Linked DNA regions of Coturnix japonica. The protein of the gene in region 1 interacts with the protein of each later gene in a pairwise test. Links are inferred from orthologs where the notes say so. Each region holds a gene or a part of one and is shown on either strand. Other genes may lie near its edges.

The links. The genes of interacting proteins can lie anywhere in the genome.
Region 2: the proteins of WBP11 (region 1) and C2H5orf22 interact in binary tests that used the Homo sapiens proteins (3 or more experiments, as listed by UniProt). The two-hybrid records come from large-scale screens. The link is inferred for Coturnix japonica from reciprocal best matches to the Homo sapiens genes WBP11 and C5orf22.

The regions. Positions count from the first base shown.
Region 1 is NC_029516.1:43,743,203-43,747,289, forward strand, and holds the start of WBP11 (WW domain-binding protein 11), read left to right. Parts: upstream 1-1,287; 5' UTR 1,288-1,408; intron 1,409-2,358; 5' UTR 2,359-2,404; coding exon 2,405-2,468; intron 2,469-3,329; coding exon 3,330-3,361; intron 3,362-3,852; coding exon 3,853-3,946; intron 3,947-4,087. UniProt on the Homo sapiens protein: Activates pre-mRNA splicing. May inhibit PP1 phosphatase activity.
Region 2 is NC_029517.1:60,566,401-60,570,561, forward strand, and holds the start of C2H5orf22 (UPF0489 protein C5orf22 homolog), read left to right. Parts: upstream 1-1,358; 5' UTR 1,359-1,441; coding exon 1,442-1,540; intron 1,541-2,214; coding exon 2,215-2,360; intron 2,361-3,503; coding exon 3,504-3,653; intron 3,654-4,161. Other genes in the region: DROSHA (ribonuclease 3), read right to left, coding at 1-321.

The DNA of each region.
Region 1 (4,087 bases):
ATCTATTTACTTTTCAGGGAGCTTACCCACATTTTCTTGAAAGCAAATTCTAAGCAGTGCCATTGGAAGCAGGGCACAAAATGAATAACCTAAAAATACAGTTTCTATTCACCTTTTGATTGATTCTTGGTCCTGCTGGGCCTAGTGGAAGGATGTCTTCCATGCAAAACCAGGTGCCTGAGATGTCCTCATGTCCATAAGATGCTGAAGTTGCTGGAGCCCAGCAGGCCGGAGCCTTTCCTACAGCTTAAGGGGCAGAGAAGGCTGTGAGCCCACAGAAGCCTGGTCAGAACCCCAGGGAGCTGACCTCATAGTGGTGCATAGCACCTCCCAGCCCCACGAGGCAGTTCTGAGGTTAAAATAACCCAACGCCTTCCTTTCCACAACTCCATGAAGAAAAAATATCCGTGGGACTTGCTGATTTCACTGACAGTTGTTATTAGACTTTTCTAATAGTCAGTAGATGTTCATGAGAGAAAGCAGTTGTGGCCACCATGGTAACGCATTGCCCTGAGCCCAGTATTCATAGAATCACAAGGTTGGAAAGGACCTATAAGATCATCTAGTCCAACCGTCCTCCCTTTACCATACCTACAGAAAACCATGAAACCATATCTCCTAGCTCTCCCTGTTCAGATGCCTCTTGAACGCTGCCAGAGATGGCGACTCCACCACCTCCCTGGGCAGCCATTCCAGTGCCTGACCACTCTCTGAGAGAAAAAATTCCTTCTTATGTCCAGTCTAAACCTCATCTGATACAACTTGTGGCCATTCCCTCGGGTCCTGTCGCCACAGGGAGGGACCCAACCTGTGTGAGGAGCAGGCACGGCATGTGTTTGATGCACACGGTGGAGGTGCTCCCATCACACCACTCATGTATTCCCTCCCTGCTCAACGTGTGGGCACAGAATGAAGAATTAAATCTGTATAATACACATGCTCCAAAATAAGCAGAACTCCATTGCTAAGCAACCAATGGCCTCATTTGGCTGCTGAAGCTGTCAGCAAAATCATCTTTACCCTGCTTCTTTCTACCATAGGATTTAAATTAAATCCATTTATTTCTCTCAGAGTCCATTAAACAGTGAAAAAGTCTCACAACAATGCAGATTTTTCAAGGCTTTATTTCCCAATCCCCACAATCCGCCGCCATCCCGGCAGCCTCCGCGCGTACCAGAACGGCAACGGGATCATAGATCTCAAAGCTGCTCTGAGAGGCACTGGGCCGCACTCGTGCTTTACGACAATCGTGCTTTACGGCGCTCGTGCTTTACAGCGGCGCGCTACTCCGTCCCGGTTCAAGATGGCGGCGCGGCAGCGGCGGGCAGCGCGGTGGTGGTAGAGGCCGCGGCGGCGGTGGGAGGGAGCTGAGCCACCCCCGCCCCGCCTTGCCCCACCGGGCCGAGTGGTGAGAGGAAAGGGATGGGGCTGGGCTGGGGGAAGGGAAAGAAAGCGGGGGGTGGAAGGCGGTTGGCGCGGCCGCCTTCTTCCTTTCCCCCAGCATCCCTCGAGGGAGGAGGGGAGGCCTTCGTGTACTTCGATGGGAGACTTTCTGCCTCGCTTCCCAGTGCTCACAAAGCACTCGTTGGGGTGCTTGATTTTCTCCTCCTCCTACAGCGATTATCTTGTGTGGACCCTCCTTTTTACCCTAAAAGAATTTGGGATCGAGGTTTGAGAACGTTATTCTCTTTGAGAAAGGCAGTGCCTCTGATTGTATTTCTGCAGTTGGCTGTAAGTTAAAGAAATGCCCGAAGGCAGGAAAGAACCCTTCATTAGAATAGTCTTTCCTTACTGATCATTGTGATGTGGCTTGAAACAGATTGAGATGGCATAAGGGCAGTGGTGTGTGATGAGAAAAAGAATGTGTACAGAGTGGTTTTTGATGGATGGGGTAGTTGGTGGTTGGTAGGGAAGAAGTCAAGGGCATCCTAGAAGTCTGGGCAAAGAAGGATATTTACGGGAAACATTTGCAATAGAGATGTTTTATGTCATTAAGTGGAAAGCTAGAAAGGCTCTTCCATGCTTATGTTATGGAGGGATACGATAACAGTTAAAATAACGCATTTTATTTTTCTAAAAGCAAGAAGCTTTCAGGTTTAAGTCTTGAGGTGAAGAACAAGCTGATTTGTTTAAAGTATGCACTTCAACTGCTTACTTGCAACTGCTTTATAAGTGATACTTAGTAAAAATAAGATGGTTTTGATGTGAATGCCCAAACTTGTATTCTGAGATCCTCCAATCCTGTATTTGAGGTTTTCTTTTGTTCGATTGTTTGTCAACCTACTACTACAAAGAGGATGAACAAGCACACGAGTCCTGCTTATGTATAGAACCTGAAATTATGGTTATCTTTTCCAGGTCTTTTTCAGTTCTTTTATTTTGAAGCAGAAGAAAAAAAGTCAAAATGGGGCGGAGATCTACATCATCCACCAAGAGTGGGAAATTCATGAATCCCACAGACCAAGCTCGTAAGTACCCATAGAAGTTAAGCAAAAGGAAATGGGGAGTCCCAGGCAAGCAGATAAAAATCTTCCTCTGAGGGGAAGATCATCACTTCTGACTGAGAACTGACTTTCCCAAACCCAAAAAGTACTGTCTCCATTTTGGCTGGTGTAGAAACTTGCCAAGAAGCTACTGGTTTGCATACCATTGCTGCTTCACACTGTTTGTCCCTTAATTCTTACTCTAATTGTCACTGGCAATTTCTAACTATAGAAACAGTTAAGTTTCTATACTTAACTGTTGGCTGTCCTGCTTCTTGAGGTGTAGGTAATCTATCTGAGGCTAGAATTTGTGGAATGGTCACATTTTGCCAAGGCTCAGGTTACTGGAGGGAGTTGTCTGACCTTGTTTTCCTTTTTGTAATGTACTGCATTTTCAGTGCTACACAGAAACAGAAAGCCCAGGCTTCTGCTGTGAGCGTGCTTTGTTTCAGATGTGTATTCAAAACCTGCATATTTTTAAAGGGCATTGTTTCTTGTTGGCACTATATCTCAGCGGCAGTCTTTTACATTGCATGCATCACTGTGCCTTTTTTTGTCTATTGTTCTTTTCTGTATAAAAACATCGCTGTTTCTAGAGGCCTAAATACTTCTGTATTGCATTTTCTTTCTATATAACACCTATGAAACAGATTTCTATTTCATGCTGTATTTGTCTATCAACAGGAAGATAAGTTTTAAAGTTTCCTTTTGTTTAATGAAATATGAAAAATGAATGAGCTGTTAAAAAATAGCACTTGTTAAAATGGAGGAAAAGTTGTTTGTGAGTTTGATCCGCTCTTTCAAATTGTTTTTTTTTTTCTCTTCTTTTTTCTTCCCTCTCTCTAGGAAAGGAAGCTCGGAAAAGGGAACTAAAAAAGGTACATAAAGAGATCTGGAGCATTTACTTGGCATTTCCTGTGCTATGTGTTATATTTGTGATTATAAAAGACCATGAGTGGTGAATAGACTACTGTTTCAGTTGATCTTGTAAAATTTAGTTAGGGATATACTGTCCAAGCAGTTAAGAAAACACAGAAATCTGGATTTGAATCAAAACGACCTTTATGTATTTGTTGGTGTGATTCATTGTGTTGCTTTTGCCTTTTGGCTTATTTTACTGATTGTGTCTTCATTGGAATGTATGAGTTATAGAAGCATCTGTAAATAGTGAGATAGTGGAATTGCAGCTCCTAGAAGTTCAAAACATCTCTGCTGCTGATTTGTGCTGTGGTTAATATCTGCAAGGCATCTGGAGATGTCTTTTTTTCCCCCCTGTAGATTGGGAGTGTTGAAAAAGAATTATTTGATACAAAGATTTTTCTTTCTCCTGTGTCTCTTTTCTGATCTCCTTGATTTTTGATCCTCTTAGAACAAAAAGCAACGAATGATGGTACGAGCGGCTGTACTGAAGATGAAAGACCCAAAGCAGATCATCCGGGACATGGAAAAATTGGATGAGATGGGTGAGTAAGGGAGGTATTGGGTGTTGGAGATAGTAGTCAAACACTGAGTAATGATTATATTAGTGACTTTTGGTCTTAACATTGCAGACTTACTGGAAATACGAACTGCAAGTGGTTTGGTTTGAAGTTGTTTCGTTAATT
Region 2 (4,161 bases), on another chromosome or scaffold:
ACATGGAGGCACTGGGAAGCTCTGCCTCATCTGATGGTTTGGAAATGGTGGCCTCATAGGACACTGGTTGATGGGATTTTGTGTTGAAGGGGGAACTGGTGGGGGATATGGAACAAAGTCTGGCCTGGGAGGCATGTAACTAGTGGCTGAAGGGTTTGAATAAGTAGCTGAAGGTGTGGCTTGCTGGTCATACTGGTACTGTACAGAGGGCTGCTGGGGGTGAAGCTGCCGCAGGTTCTGAGGACGATAAGCCTGTGCTGAAGTTCTTGCTCCTGGTCCCCCCTGCCCACGGGGACATCCTCGTCCAGAATGGAAAGACATGGTTCACTTTTAATGAGGAAAATATAGAAAATCATTGTCACAAAACTTAGTAGAAGGACCTCAGTATATTTGCAAAAAACAATTCCTGAAATACTGAAATTAGTTTCTGTCATTTCCTTTAATAGGAGCAGTGGAAGATGGCAGTCTTTCAGTGGGAGCTGTGCACTTCTCAGAGCTCTAATACAGATCATTACAGCCCTTTGATTTCTTTAAGTCTTTAATCCACTATAGTAGTTTACCAGTAGTCTTTAAACCAGCACTGCAACTGGACCATGCTCTCTGATTTAGGACAGTTAATTTTAACAGGTGACTGCAAGGACAGGCTATAGTTGCAAGTAGCTCCACTAATATGTACTAGATACGTCAATATAAAGCCTTCAGATACCCTATATCACCAGTCAGCATTGCCTCTCCAGCACCCTCACTTCTAGAAAGGCTCTAAAGAAAACCCACAGCTCATAGAATGGCCTGGGTTTAAAAGGGCCACAATGATCATCTCGTTTCAACCCCCTGCTATGTGCAGGGTCACCAACCACCAGACCAGGCTGCCCAGAGCCACATCCAACTTAACCCTGGATGCCTCCAGGGATGGGGCATCCACAGCCTCCCTGGGCAACCTGTTCCAGTGCATCACCACCCTCTGCGTGAAAAAATTCCTCTTAATATCTAACCTAAACCTCCCCTGTCTCAGTTTAGCAGCATTCCCCCTTGTCCTATCGCGATCCACCCTCGTAAACAGCCGTTCCCTCACCTGTTTGTACAATCCCTTCAAACATTGGAAAGCCACAGTGAGGTCCCCCCGGACCGCCAGAAAGACATTTCGGTTCTAGTACTTCCTAATAGCCAGAATAACAGCTATATCCCCTTTCCTCCTACCACACAGAGCACCAAATCGCAACCGCTTCCTCCCCCAGGCTCACAGACAGCAGAGCATCCCAGCACCAAAACACCCGATCTCAGAGCACACATCCCGCTCTCCGAGCCCACCGCCCTCACTCAGACCCCCGGCACACAACCCATCCCACCTACCGCCACACGGCGACATCCAACCCACCCGCTGCTCCGGAAGAGGAAAGCGTGGGGCGGGCACTCTGCTGCAGGAAGCGCCGCCTCGTCCGGCATGAGCGGCGCGGAGGCGGCCTGCGGGTCCCGGCCTCGCGGGGGCGGGTTGAGGACATACCCGGCGCTGCCGGTGTGGGTGGTGGAGGACCATCAAGATGTGAGTGGCGGCGTTAGGCGGAACACAGGGCTTGCGGGGGGGAGGTGGTGGCTGTGCAGTCAGCTCGCAAGTAGATCCAGTCAAGTCATGTGGGCATCAGGAGTTAAACCCCTTCTTTGTAGGTGGATGGGTTAAATTATCTGTTATTCAATGTTCTTCACTCAGAGGACAGTGAGGCCCTGGCACAGCTGCTCAGAGAAGCTGTGGTGCCCCATCACTGGAGGTGCTTAAGGCCAAGCTAGATGGGGCCCTGGGCAGCCTGAGCTGGTGATGGCAGCCCTGACCATAGGATGGAGCTGGGTGGGCTTTGAGGTCCCTTCCAGGCCAACCCATTCTATGATTCTGTGATAAAACCCAACAACAGCAAGTCCCTAGCCATGGAGCTGAATGATAGGTGAGAAGAGTTGCTGCAATCACAGTGCCTTGTAAAGAAGGAAAGGAAGTAGAAGTATAATCTGGCACCTTCACATGCGTAGAGCTCCAGGGCTCAGTGATTGTGCCTCATGAACTAAAATTGCTGCCCTTCTTTACTGTTTTCTGTCTCCTCCTTCCTCTTCCAACATACAACCCAAATTCTAATGGAGCTTGAGTGGGACTGGTGTTTCTGCTGCTATACCAATTGCGTTTGTGATTTCACTGCTTACAGTGGAAATGTTTTGCTTGTGCTCTTTTAGGTGCTGCCTTTCATCTACCGTGCCATTGGTTCAAAGCATCTGCCTGCAAGTAACATCAGCTTTGTTCACCTTGATTCCCATCCAGACCTCCTTATCCCTGTGAATATGCCTGCAGATACTGTGTTTGATAAAGAAGCACTTTTTAAGTAAGCCTTATGTACTGCATCAGGATAAAGTGTCCACTTCTTGCAGTGTTTGGTTTATATCAAATATTGATACGACTGTGTATGAAATATGAGCAACAGATGCATAAATCAGACTCATGTTGTATTTTCTTTAATTTTTTTATGAAACTTAATAGCTTTGGATAGAAGAAGTAGCTATGTTTCTTTTATGAATGTGGTCAAATGATTATGTTACATATTAAGAAGATGTAAGACTTAGGAATTCACTTCTAGTTCACATTATCAGACTGGGGAGTTCCTCTGAGTGACAGGACAGTACTCCAGATGGGTGCTTTTCAGTGAGCTGGAGATTTTAAAACGGCTTTTCTGTTAATGGTGACAAATTGACTGAGATTAAAATAACATCTCTTATGCTGACATGGTGCATCTGTGAAGTTGAGTGTGATAATTAAGACCAATGTTTATCCCTGTCTTCTTAGGTAGGCAAGAAGACACAGGGTGATCTGTTTTTGTCTATTATTTCTTGTCTTAAAATAAGTATTGATTGTTCCTGTGTTACACTGGTACAGAGCAGTGACAAGAGAAGATAATTGATATATTAACAATTGTGTCACCCTGCCCATGGTCCATATTTAGTTTTCTTTGCTGGATGAATGAAAAGCCTTGTAGGCTGCATCGTATACATGAAGAAATAGGATAATAAGTACAGATGCTACTCTGTTGGTGCTGATTGACTCACATTCACTACTGAAGTTATATATTAAGCCTACTTAGAGAAGCGTACAATAACTTGAGGTCAATTATGTAGAATGGAGTTCATGATGCACCTTGTACTTCTACTCTGTCACATATGTTCAGAGAAAAAGACAAGAAGTCCATGTAGTTAATAAAGTACTGTACTAAGAGTAAAGCTGACTGCACTTCATAATCCTATTGATTATTATTTTTTTTTTTAAATTTTATTACAGACATTTTTGGTTCTTACAAATCAGGAATTCAGTCCCTTTTCTTTGCTTTGGTGATATGATCTGTACACAGAGTAATAACTTCAGATTATTTGCATAGGGGGCTTTCAAGTTATGGAGGGTGTTTTTGCTGTTCTTGACAATGTTTTACATGCTGGTAAAGTAAGTGTTATTACCAGTCTTTCTCTCATCATTACAGTGAGCTGAGTATTGAAAACTGGATTATGCCTGCTGTTTATGCTGGCCATATTTCTCAAGTAGTGTGGCTTCACCCACCATGGGCCCAGCAGATCTCAGAGGGAAAACACAATTTTTTTGTTGGGAAAGACATGTCAACAACTACAATCAGGTAAATTCTTTGCTATCCTCTGATAGTAACATAAAAGCTATTTGCCATATATTTTGTATTCTTGAATAAATATAGTGATACATCTTTTCTCAATGAAAATTCAGTTTGTATTTGTGAATGTTTTGGGGTGTCATGACTGTTTTAAGAAGTACAGTTTAAGTAGAGTCTTAGCCTCTCTTTTTTTTTTTTTTAATAGATAATTCAAGTTATTCACATTTCATTGCATTCAACCAAGTTTTCAATTAGTTCTCTTTGATAAAATGAAAATCTTTGGGGAAAAAAAAAAAATGTTTTTTAGAGGATTGGGGTAACAGAGCAGAACTTAGATCCTCCTCAGATGTCCCTTATCAAAATGAAACAAGCCCACCTGCTCAACGTCTCCTTGTCAGATGCTCCGTCTAGCTCTTTAACCTCCTTAGCCAATGTACAGTGAAAATAATGAAAAGATGGTAGATGTAAATACCCAAAAGGTTATTTACAGTAAAAACTCACCCATATGGAAGCCTTT